3 linked regions of the Arabidopsis thaliana genome follow. The protein of the gene in region 1 interacts with the protein of each later gene in a pairwise test. Each region holds a gene or a part of one and is shown in the gene's direction. Other genes may lie near its edges. The genes, in order: TMAC2, HB-12 and MYB49.

Region 1 (4,119 bases):
TCAAAATTACAAACACGTTTATATATATATACACATATAGATAGATTGATAGCCACATTTCTGAGATTCGATAGTCATATATACGACTATATATTAAATATTCCAGAAGATATATTGACACTTTTTCTGAAAGACTAATTAAGAAGAACGCGCAAGTATGACTATGCGTTACTAAGAATATTTAATTTCCATTAGAAAATGTGTAAGTTTATCTGATATACTAGTTAATTAGCCAAATGATTTTAAAATTTACGTTAAGAAAATTTCGTAGGTTCAACTTTTTAGTGTGTAAGTTATTAATTGTGAATTATACAGCTAGGAACGTCCGTTATATGTAAACAAAGTAACTATATATAAAATTTAAGACTTAGAGTAAGTATTTATTATGTGATTGTTATATATACTCGCTAAAGAGTACTAGATGAAGAGTGAAGAGGTTGGGCATCTCGAGAGAGAAACTGAAGAAAACAGAAGAGAAAGAGAGTTATTCACTCGATGGTCCCCCTAATTTTCCTATCACTTTTTCTCTCTCAATTTAACCGTCTCTTGTATTATCCCCAATAGTTACATTTTTAATTACTCTTATCATTTCAATACCCAACAAAGCAGAAACAGCCCAGCAAAATTTTCACTTCCAGAAATTATAACATGGTTGAATACACAACACTAATTAACTGCAATATGAATCATAAATAAATTTATTAAGATTTCTATATAAAAACTGTTGGGCAGCAAATGCATGCGTACGATATCTATAGAATTGGAGTTTAGTGCAATTGTTGGTATTTCTTTCTTTGGGGAAAGTGACACGTTAAAATATGAAAAATGTAAAAATTTGAACAAGACTTACAATAACTAGAAAAATCAGAGATACAAAATTTACTACTCTATCAGTCTATCTGTTGTCTTATACACTACACCTTTATTATGCACTGTTCCTATCCCAAACACCAATCCCTATGCTCAGTCCATATGGTAGATACTACTAGAGATGGTAACCCAACACATATGTGTTAGATGGCCCCATAGGCAGTAAGCAAAACATTACTTTTTACAACCATATCTTTGTTTATAAATTTTAAAAGCTATGTGAATTTAATTTAGTATTACTATCCTGGATCACAATCTTGGGCCAACAAAAGAAATGTGTATGGGCCAACTGTGATGAAAGAAAAGCCCAATGGATCAAAGTTCAGATGCTTTCTGTAGCTCTTTTGTAGAGAAGTTTTTGTAAGTTTAGTTATAGAAGCAAAAATAGGTAAACCACAAAACTGAAGCCCGGTTGACTAAATCCTTAAATGTGATCATGTCACACAGCAACTTGGCTACATGTTGTCGTGAAGCAATGAATAAAGTGGTACGTGGTGTATTCTAGAAGCGAAACGTGTCACTAATCTTATCACCTTTTTAGGGTAAAATAGATTTGAAACAAAACATTTCTTCAAACATACAAAAAAAGAAAGAAATAGTACAAGTTGGCCACTATGCGTGTCCCACTTCTCGATCTCCTCTTTGATTGTTTGCGTCTCTTTAGGAGATCCTCCCATTCATTCATTCTTTCCTCTCCACCTTATTATTACTATTATTCTGCTGCATGAATTTCAAAAAATTATGTAACAACAATTTACCGAAATGAAATTACCACAAAGGATTAGAAACTAGCACATTCTTAATAACCAATATTGAACTCTTATTAGTATTGTTGTTAGAACTTGAAGTTAATTAGGCCACAAGAAAAGGCGCGTAGAAATGTTTAGATAAAAAAAATGTCTAACGTATTTCTTTGGTTTGCCGTGTCGGGGGCCCAGTCAGGCTGGATACACGTGGCAATAAAGGGACTGTCGTAGTTGAGCACGTTGATTATTAGACACGTGTCGAGTTGTATATGAACAAAGTAGCCTACGTCTACGCCACTTGATGCCCTTTTCCACGTGGCGTGGTGGGTGGTCGTCTATCTTTTCCTATAAAAAATCATAAATCAATATTAAAATGTTTTCAAGAAGATAATCCGAATAATTCCCTATATTTTGTGTCTGTCAACGAGAAATCACTATCTATTTTCATTGATTATACTAATGCAAATTGGTATATTAACTGGAAATTATGTCTATTTTAAGCCAACTTGTGTGAAAATATACTAAAGTAAAGTTTTAAAATCCGTACTACATCGTCAACTATGCTTGTAATATAATTCAAAAACATGATTTTCTTTTTTTTTCCCTGAAAAATATAAAATATGCAAATTGAAGTACTATAGTTTATAATAGTAAGCATTTGGTGCTTGTTTTAAGACAAAATTGTTTCGTCTCTCTCAAGATTGAAAATAGAAAGTTAAGCCAAAAACGTTTCTCCCTTCTCTTTCGAATTTCTCTGACTTTGATATTTGGTTATGGAGATGATAAGAGGCAGGGGAATCCCAAACGGCGTCGTTCAAGTACCCAATCTTTCTGCTAATAATCTCTTGCAGAAGTTTTTCATCGCAAGCAACCATTTTTGTCAGCGAGACTCTGAGCATGGTGAGAATCAACAAGAAGCGAAGAAGAGAGAAGATGAAGCAGAAGAGGATGAGAAAGACGTGGAGCTAACGTTAGGTCTTTCGCTTAATGGACAGTTTGGTACGGATCCGAGATCGAGAAAAAGGAGGCACTTTGAACTGGGTCGATCTTCTTCGATACCGGAAGGTTTCGTCTTCGATGAACAAAGATCCGGCGGCGGTAACGGCGGAGATATGCGTCGTATTGTGGGCCGTGGAGGCTCAGACATGTTTCAGCTGGATCGGACGCGTTCTCTGCCGGTCGTAACGGAGATGGATATAGAGAAAGAGCGGAAGGTGTCAGAGAAGACGAGGGCATTTATGGAATCTCCGGTTACAAACAGAGGAGCATATCTAACAAAAGATAAAAACAGAGGCCAAGCCGTCGAAACAGAGAAGCCGAGGGCATTTCTGGAATTTAAGATTCCTCCGACCAAGGAGGGAAAGAAAGAAAAAGATCGGTTGGTTGTCACTGGTCCGGTCAACGGGAAGGGTAAAAATGGAAATACGGCGAAGAAGCAGAAGAATAATGTGGAAAATTCAGGAATGGAGAAGGCGAGGAACATTCTTGAAGACATGCCTTGTGTGTCGACGAGAGATGTCGGAGCCGACGGGAAACGAGTGGAAGGGTTTCTTTACTGGTACGGAGGGAACAAGGAGGAGGTCAAGATAGTTTGTGTTTGCCACGGCAGTTTTCTTTCTCCGGCGGAATTTGTTAGGCACGGCGGAGGTACCGTCAGCGATGATGATGGTGGTGATGTTATGATTAACCCTCTTAGACATATTGTTGTTAAACTTCCTTCTTCTTCTATCTAGGGATTATTATTTATCCCCAACTATTATTAGAGCTCTCATTTTTTGTTTTCCCTAACTTTCAAAATGTAACGATGTCAAACTAATTTGACCGACTAAACTAGCTGAAGCATGTACATTTTATATCCAAAGTTATTACAGATCCACTTGATTTGATTTTGGTTAAGAATGTTGAATCAATCTTAGCTAAACGGATGTTTTATTTTTTAACGTTAGAAATTAAAGATTCATTGATATCGAAGGGAGAGGAAACAGAGTTCAAAACTGAAGAGAGACAAATGCAAAGCCAAGACTACCAACAGGCAACAGATATATCACTACGAGTGAGCTCAGAAGATAATGAGAAAAGACAACCTTTGCAAAGGAAGCAGGGAGCAAAACCATGGTAAGAGAACTAAGTTTTCTCTCTAAGTCTAATTGTGGATCGTCAGGACTGCTTTGTAACTAATGCGATAAGTGAGCCAAGAAGGGGGCTATATATGATTGATAACGGTGATCTTTCGTAACACACTAATGGCTATAAGCTCTAATTTCCATTCTTCAAATGAAACCGTTAGCCTCAACGAACGGATGTTTCACAAATGTTGAGCCAATGGATGGATATACTCGTCTTTATTATCGAGCAATACGCTTGGCGTTAACTATTCATGGAAGTAGCATGTAGTAGCGAGAGTCGCTCTATTTGATACTAGATACATAGAAGAACCTTTCACATCGCTGTCTTTCAAGAAGGATGAAGATGCCAACTCAACCAAAGCAAGCCAGACCACTAC
Region 2 (3,470 bases), about 23 Mb from region 1:
GCGTTTATCATTAATATTGTTGCTTAAAATTACAAACTTTCAAAATCCCATGGTTAAGATAATTAGTGTTTCAGAGCCTAAGACGGAACGGAACTTGTGTAATTTTGTAAGAATAAACATATTAACTTCGTGTCTAAAAAAAAACATACTACACTGACTTCGTTTTCTAATAAGTAATTGTTGTAGAATTTTAATTTATTTCTGTTTATGTAAACTGTTATTTTGTATGTTTAATGCATATATTTTAGACAAGATACTTCTATCCATAATAGTTAGCTTATTAATAGAGGTATAATAATCTTTTTAGATTTCATATTATATTTAGTACTATTGGTTTTAGAAAAATGGAAAAAGGTCAAATAAATAATAGGAACACCACTGGTTTATATTTCTTTTCTGGATTGTGTATACTTTTTAGAAGAAAACTAAAACGGCATGTTGAAAAGGAAACCAAGAGGATAGTAATTAGGTCAGATTACTTGTTTAGTTACAAGAAAGTCAAGAAATCTCATAATTGAGTTTAAAACTTTAAACATTTGCATGGAAGTCAATAAATCTATAATCCTTACTCGTGATCATCTTATTGTTTCCGTGTAACGAAATTAAACGCGTAAAACATCGCGTAAACTATAGTACGGTATGTGATATGCAAATATATCTTAATTTATTTTTTATTTTTTATTTTTCTTGGGCAATGAATTGAAGAGTTGCAAAATTATTTGCCAGCTTACCACATGCGGCCACAATTTTAACCATGATTAATCTTCTTTTGGAATTTAGCGAGATAAATCAAGAGTAGGTTTATTTTAGAACATAGTATATAATACACTAATGAAAAGTCTCGTTAAAACGTGTTTCACGTAACCGACCTCTAAAGTATGGCGTGCGAGTAACGACAAATGAAATCTCAAATGAAAATGGAGATTATTTTAATCTTAATTATAACACACTAATTAACACCCGTCAAACATCCTGATATGTGAACGTGGAATCTCGTTACACAATCGAATAAAATTATTGCTTAATACGATCCGTCTTTCTCTCTCTTTCGTAATGATTATCTATCAATATTATCTTGACTAATAAAAGTATCGCAAGGCCTTGGCAGTCACATGTTAAATGATGATATACGTTGTTGCATGTTAAAACATAGTACAACGATCATCTAGGCTGCTGCTAAATTCTATTTTCAAAAATGCCTTTTATATGCAAGAAAAGCAAAATAATCGAGTTTTTTTTTTTGTTTCATTATAAACTGCTTCATTTTTCTTAGGAACGGCCAAACTGTTAAAAAGTAAAATATGTATGGTGATTAATTGATGTAACCAAAGCCAGTTCGCCCGTTTGATTGTCAACCCACGTTATCATTCACTTGATCACTTCCATGAAACATATAAAAGCTGATAATACTTATATTATAAAGGAAAAAAAGTATGAAAATATTATCAGTAGTTAGATGATTAGTTCACATCTAAATGAAATACGACTTAAACTGAAAGAGACATGAGCCAATTCGTGTCGAGCCACAAATTTTGGACGTATATTTTTAGCCCGTGGTTCCACAATATTTGCAGGTCTTTTTATTCAATGAGTTTATTTTGTCTTGGTTGAATAATGAAATTTCCAAATATAAAAAATAATAGAAATCCGAGGCCCTACACAAGCACACATAGTAACTCCCACATTATATATAAGCGGCCAATATCAGCAACTCAGAGATTCCAGAAAGAAAGAAAAAAAAGAAACAAATAATTCCAAAACCTTCTCTCTTAATCAAAATCAAGAAACTTACAAGATCTGGTGAAAACCATGGAAGAAGGAGATTTTTTCAACTGCTGTTTCAGCGAGATTAGTAGTGGCATGACCATGAATAAGAAGAAGATGAAGAAGAGCAATAACCAAAAGAGGTTTAGCGAGGAACAGATCAAGTCACTTGAGCTTATATTTGAGTCTGAGACGAGGCTTGAGCCGAGGAAGAAGGTTCAGGTAGCTAGAGAGCTAGGGCTGCAACCAAGACAAGTGGCTATATGGTTTCAAAACAAGAGGGCTCGATGGAAAACTAAGCAACTTGAGAAAGAGTATAACACTCTTAGAGCCAATTACAACAATTTGGCTTCACAATTTGAAATCATGAAGAAAGAAAAGCAATCTCTGGTCTCTGAGGTACATAATGATTCTATCGATATCTTTATCTTTAATTGAACAGTGATAGAAACAATAATTGATAATGATCTTTTTTTTTTATAAAGTATAAAATAGCAAATACAGTCTTGGCATTTATTGGTTTTTGGGGGATGTAAATTCTCGATCATTTTGCCTAATTTGATATTAATCAATCTCTATTTGCAGCTGCAGAGACTAAACGAAGAGATGCAAAGGCCTAAAGAAGAAAAGCATCATGAGTGTTGTGGTGATCAAGGACTGGCTCTAAGCAGCAGCACAGAGTCGCATAATGGAAAGAGTGAGCCAGAAGGGAGGTTAGACCAAGGGAGTGTTCTATGTAATGATGGTGATTACAACAACAACATTAAAACAGAGTATTTTGGGTTCGAGGAAGAGACTGATCATGAGCTGATGAACATTGTGGAGAAAGCTGATGATAGTTGCTTGACATCTTCTGAGAATTGGGGAGGTTTCAATTCTGATTCTCTCTTAGACCAATCTAGCAGCAATTACCCTAACTGGTGGGAGTTTTGGTCATAAAAGCATATAAGAAAAAAACAGAACATAAGCGAAGAGAAAGAGTGTGAATAGTTTGTAAATTATGTGTTAAGAAAAATAAATTTAGTTTAGTTTAAATCTTGTTTCGATCTATGTATCTACTATGTTCAATACTCTTTGTAGCTAATTAGTAGCTTATAATGAGACTAGAAAAGTTTTGAAGTCACCAAGGTTAAATTTGTGATTGCAAGTTGGCTCTAAGAGTGTTGGACCAAGCGTAATGATCACAAGTACAAGAGTCTTCGTCCATAATGATCTCGAAACGGACTAAAAATTGACCTAAATTTGAAACTAAGTGCATTTATCTCTATATTGGTGCTCTGCTATAATGCTTTCAATATCCTCGAGATGAATTGTCTATGAATTTTATCACCAAATATCAGTTTTGATCACATTCCGGTTCATCAGCTCAGGTTACTCTGTCACTCCCTTCCTATGAGATATTTGTAGCTGGATTGGCAGATATGGAACAACTTCTTGTAGATGCAGAACTAGTTCCTTTTGGTGTTTGTCTTTCCAGTTTATAAGGAACAATCGAGTCATGATAATCTTCCTATGATTGATGTCATGTGGGACATGTGCTTTGTAACCAGACTCTCAACAGAATGTAAAAGAATGGCTCTAAGTCAAGTCTTTATAGTGTCCTTAATCTTGTAGCAACGGTAGCCCCTGGATCATCCCTTCTTCCTTGAGAAATCAAAGCAAACCAATGTTTCTCTTATGGTTCTGTTCTGTATAATATGGGGGTA
Region 3 (4,523 bases), on another chromosome or scaffold:
ATAACTTCTTATACCAAACTAAAATGAAGATGGTAGCTGATTAACGAATTTACATGCGGAAGACTTAAATAATCGATAGATTAGTTTATGAAAAGACTTGCATAATCGATAGATTAGTTTATGAAAAGACTTACATAATCGATAGATTAGTTTATGAAAAGACTTGCATAATTGGTAGATGCAAAGTTATAAGAAAACTGATAAATCTGAAACGAGGCTTGAGTTCATCAAAATTTCCTGTGACAGCGATTATTTTAATGTTACTAAGACGATTGGGTTGTTGGGATTGTTGTAGATAAACCAGGCAATAACATAATCTACCAATAACAATGTATTGTATTTCCTTTTAGTTGAGAAATTAAATATTTGACCACATTATCTGAATTTTCTTGTCGTCTTAATAACTAATTATCATTATTCATTTTTGGCAGGATCTTTTTTTCTTTGTTAAAGGGTCTACTTTTTTTTTTGATAAAGCAGTCTTTTATTTTTAAAACATGCATCACAAAATTTACCTTCATGAATCAATTCCCTGTGAGACAATGATATGATTTAAAGTTTACATGTAAAATATTCTATACCGTGGAAAAACACTCATTTCATTGTTATATAACGAAAAATATGAATTATATGGACGCAAAATAACTATTTACTAGATATATCGATGTTATAGAAATAATATTATATTAAAAAAAACGATATATACGGTTTAGTGTTAGTGTAAGTTTATATTTTTGGCACTTGTTGAAAACGTTATGATAACTTGTTTATTATCAACCTAACATGTTTTATACGGCTATACCGCATAAAGTGTAGAATTAATTTTACCTCTTTATATGACACAATAATATTTAACATGTAACAAGAGCAAGGGGTTACTTGTCAAATACGCCTATGCACTAAACAATGATAAATTGGTCATTCTCCTAATTTAAAAAGTCACTTTATCATTCTTCTCTAATACCAAACCTTTCTATATAATCACTCTTAAACCGGCCGATAACTTGTTTTCCAAATAATCTAAAACTTATACTAACCAAATTTAACTAAAATAGTAATAATTTCTTACAAATATCAAATCAAAAAATTTCAAATCCCTGACTTGTCAAATCAACCATGTTTCGGACTGAGACCAAAGTCTCTGCAATTCAATGACACATGTATATTATATAGTATTGTTTCATTAATCACACATGTATTTTGACCGTTAACATGCCTTGTTCTTTACGTATGTTGCACTGCAACAACGCTTTGTCGTTAATTTACCTAACTTAGTAAAAACAAAATACATGTCTTAGATTATCAGTTATTCAAACTTGTCGTTATGTAATTGTTATTGAAGTAAACAGAAACTCTGGTGCGATGCAGGACGTTACTCAAACTGAGTCACTTCGATCGGATGTCTTAATTCAAGCAGGACAATCTAGCTTTGCTACTGAAATTTGATGACACGATGATATATATCTATTTCCAACCGATGAAGCACACTGGAGATCCGTTTGGATTTTTATTGTTTTTACTTTTTTACACTATCGTAATCATTCTTTACATATTTCCTTTTTATTTTCTCCTTAGAAGAGAAATTATTTGTATACAAAACTTAGAAGGCTAAATAAGCATATTTATTCAGTATAATCACTGTAACCACACCTTATTCAATAAAATTCTTATTTTGAATCTGTCTATTTATGTATATGATATTGCTATAGTGATGACAGATGAGTAAACATTAAACATACACGCAACATAGCTATCTTGAAAACTGTTTGATGATTTGAGACAAAGAGACCAAAACAAATGGAACCTTCTTCACATATCTATCACACGTCCTCATACACCACCCATATTCTGCCATGTGTTCTCACTCCATCAATATTAATTATTTTTAGGGTTAATAGAGATGGTTTAGTCTCATGCTTTTTGTTTATTACTTTTTTTCTTTGGTCAGAGCTTTTTGTTTGTTAGTAAGGACTTTAAAGATAGAGAGTAAAAATTACTCTTTTGTTTTGTCAACATAATAAGCAGTTTTTTTCTACTTCATTTTGTCTCCGTATTTCATCAAGAAAAGACACGTATTTAGATAGATGATGGAAGGGCGGTACCAAATCTCCTTGACTTGACTTTGCATGTACCATATATATATTTGTATATACATAAATCATAATTCATGAAGAAACCAAATTTTCTCTGTAATCAAGTTCTCAAAGCTTATTAGCTTCTCTCTCTAGTTCTCTCACATATAACATTTGAAAAAGATGGGAAAATCTTCAAGCTCGGAGGAAAGTGAAGTGAAGAAAGGGCCATGGACTCCGGAGGAAGACGAGAAGCTCGTAGGCTATATTCAAACGCACGGTCCCGGCAAATGGCGTACCCTTCCCAAGAACGCCGGTAAATTCCTACCCTAACGCATGTATATATACAAATAGCTAAATCCTATCAGCTACAATATGTTTTCCTGCGTTTTGTTTTACGTTTATGTTTAAAATTTACTAATAATGATTATCATGCTAGATCATGTCAACGTTAGAATTAAAATTAAAACAATCATGGTTCTTATTCGTTTTTCTTGGTGTGAATCTTAAAAGGGTTAAAAAGATGCGGGAAGAGTTGTAGATTGCGATGGACGAATTATCTAAGACCCGATATCAAGAGAGGAGAGTTCTCTCTTCAAGAGGAAGAAACCATCATTCAACTTCATCGTCTTCTTGGAAACAAGTTAGTCTATCTGCAATTTTTCATTTCTTCATTTAGTGTATAATTGTTTACATGTATGATTAAATTAAGTAAAAAATGACCTAGTTTTCCACTACTACACCTACTTCATTGGACTTCCATGTCTTTACATTTTTGTTATAATATTACTTGCATATTTTATTTTATTCAACTAAAAGACAAGAACATAGTTAAGCACTATACCAAGGTCAAATGTCTAAAGCTAAGCATGCAATCTTCAACTCGCTGCAGCTAATATCTTAACAAGTTAAAACTTATACTTCTCTTTTTGATTTTAACTTAAAATCTATAACACGATATTTTTTCTTCTATAGATGGTCCGCAATTGCTATTCACTTACCAGGAAGAACAGATAATGAAATCAAAAACTATTGGAACACACATATTAAAAAGAAACTCTTACGAATGGGGATTGATCCGGTGACTCATTGTCCCCGCATTAATCTTCTCCAGCTCTCTTCGTTTCTTACCTCATCATTGTTTAAATCTATGTCACAACCGATGAATACTCCATTTGATCTCACTACTTCAAATATTAATCCTGATATCTTGAATCATCTCACTGCCTCTCTCAACAACGTTCAGACCGAATCATACCAACCAAACCAACAGCTTCAAAACGACCTAAACACTGACCAAACCACTTTCACCGGTTTGCTCAACTCAACACCACCCGTTCAATGGCAAAACAATGGAGAATACTTGGGAGATTATCACAGTTATACCGGTACAGGTGATCCATCTAATAACAAAGTCCCTCAAGCCGGAAACTACTCATCAGCCGCATTTGTATCCGACCACATTAATGATGGTGAGAATTTTAAGGCCGGATGGAATTTCAGTTCATCAATGCTAGCGGGAACTTCATCGAGCAGCTCGACACCGTTGAATTCGTCTTCGACTTTTTATGTCAATGGTGGAAGCGAAGATGATAGAGAGAGTTTTGGTAGCGACATGTTGATGTTTCATCATCATCATGATCATAATAATAATGCTTTGAATCTATCATAATGTCTTATTTATTTTGCTTCTTGATCTTATTTGTTTTATTTTTACTTTTTTTTAATGGGGGTTTGTAATTGTGTTACATACTTTGTAATATAAGAGCTTAGTCTATTATTATGTTGACTCTTTTTTTTTTTTTTGTTCTACTTTTTTTGATCCGAAAAGGTTTCTATTTGTTTACACTTAAAAAAGTTATAAAACCTAAGAGGATAACAGCTAGTGTACCTTTATCTTGACTTTGTTCTTCTACTAATTGTTTTTTCTGCTTCGAAGAACTTTACATTAGTCGACTCTCAAAAGGTCATAAGATGGTTGATAAGTGTGTTACGTACATACTTAGTATTTTAAGAGTTAAGTGTATTCTTAATCTTGGATTTCTTGTGCATTTTCTTCCACTAATTGTTCTTATTTTCCAATTCGAAGAACTTTCCATTCGTTATACCTAAAAGGTCTTCAACTTGTACGAAAATTTTCTGGTGTTATAGTTTTATTATTCTATTTGCACCATCTTGATTTTGATGATTAAGAACACATTTGGTGGAGCAGGAGACAATAGTGATTATATTTAATTGGTCATAGACTCATAAAGGGGAGTTTTCAATTTCATAATACAAGAAAAAAGAAATAATCGACTTGTTTTCCCTTATGATTGGTTTGAAATCAGCACAAATAAATAGTAATACACCTAAAAGGAAGATTTAAATAGTTATCCACTATGAGAAAATGTGTATGAAAGATTAAAATAGAAAATATATAGTCAACGTTGTTCGAAACACCAAACCCAA

Evidence for each region.
Region 2: the proteins of TMAC2 (region 1) and HB-12 interact in a two-hybrid assay, tested with the Arabidopsis thaliana proteins (one large-scale study listed by BioGRID).
Region 3: the proteins of TMAC2 (region 1) and MYB49 interact in a two-hybrid assay, tested with the Arabidopsis thaliana proteins (one large-scale study listed by BioGRID).

Annotation. Positions count from the first base shown.
Region 1 is NC_003074.8:384,708-388,826, reverse strand, and holds TMAC2 (AFP2 (ABI five-binding protein 2) family protein), read left to right. Parts: upstream 1-1,775; 5' UTR 1,776-2,389; coding exon 2,390-3,349; 3' UTR 3,350-3,590; downstream 3,591-4,119. UniProt on the Arabidopsis thaliana protein: Acts as a negative regulator of abscisic acid (ABA) and salinity responses.
Region 2 is NC_003074.8:22,913,579-22,917,048, reverse strand, and holds HB-12 (homeobox 12), read left to right. Parts: upstream 1-1,655; 5' UTR 1,656-1,809; coding exon 1,810-2,163; intron 2,164-2,349; coding exon 2,350-2,703; 3' UTR 2,704-2,895; downstream 2,896-3,470. UniProt on the Arabidopsis thaliana protein: Probable transcription activator that may act as growth regulators in response to water deficit.
Region 3 is NC_003076.8:22,015,578-22,020,100, reverse strand, and holds MYB49 (myb domain protein 49), read left to right. Parts: upstream 1-2,039; 5' UTR 2,040-2,255; coding exon 2,256-2,388; intron 2,389-2,585; coding exon 2,586-2,715; intron 2,716-3,047; coding exon 3,048-3,744; 3' UTR 3,745-3,958; downstream 3,959-4,523.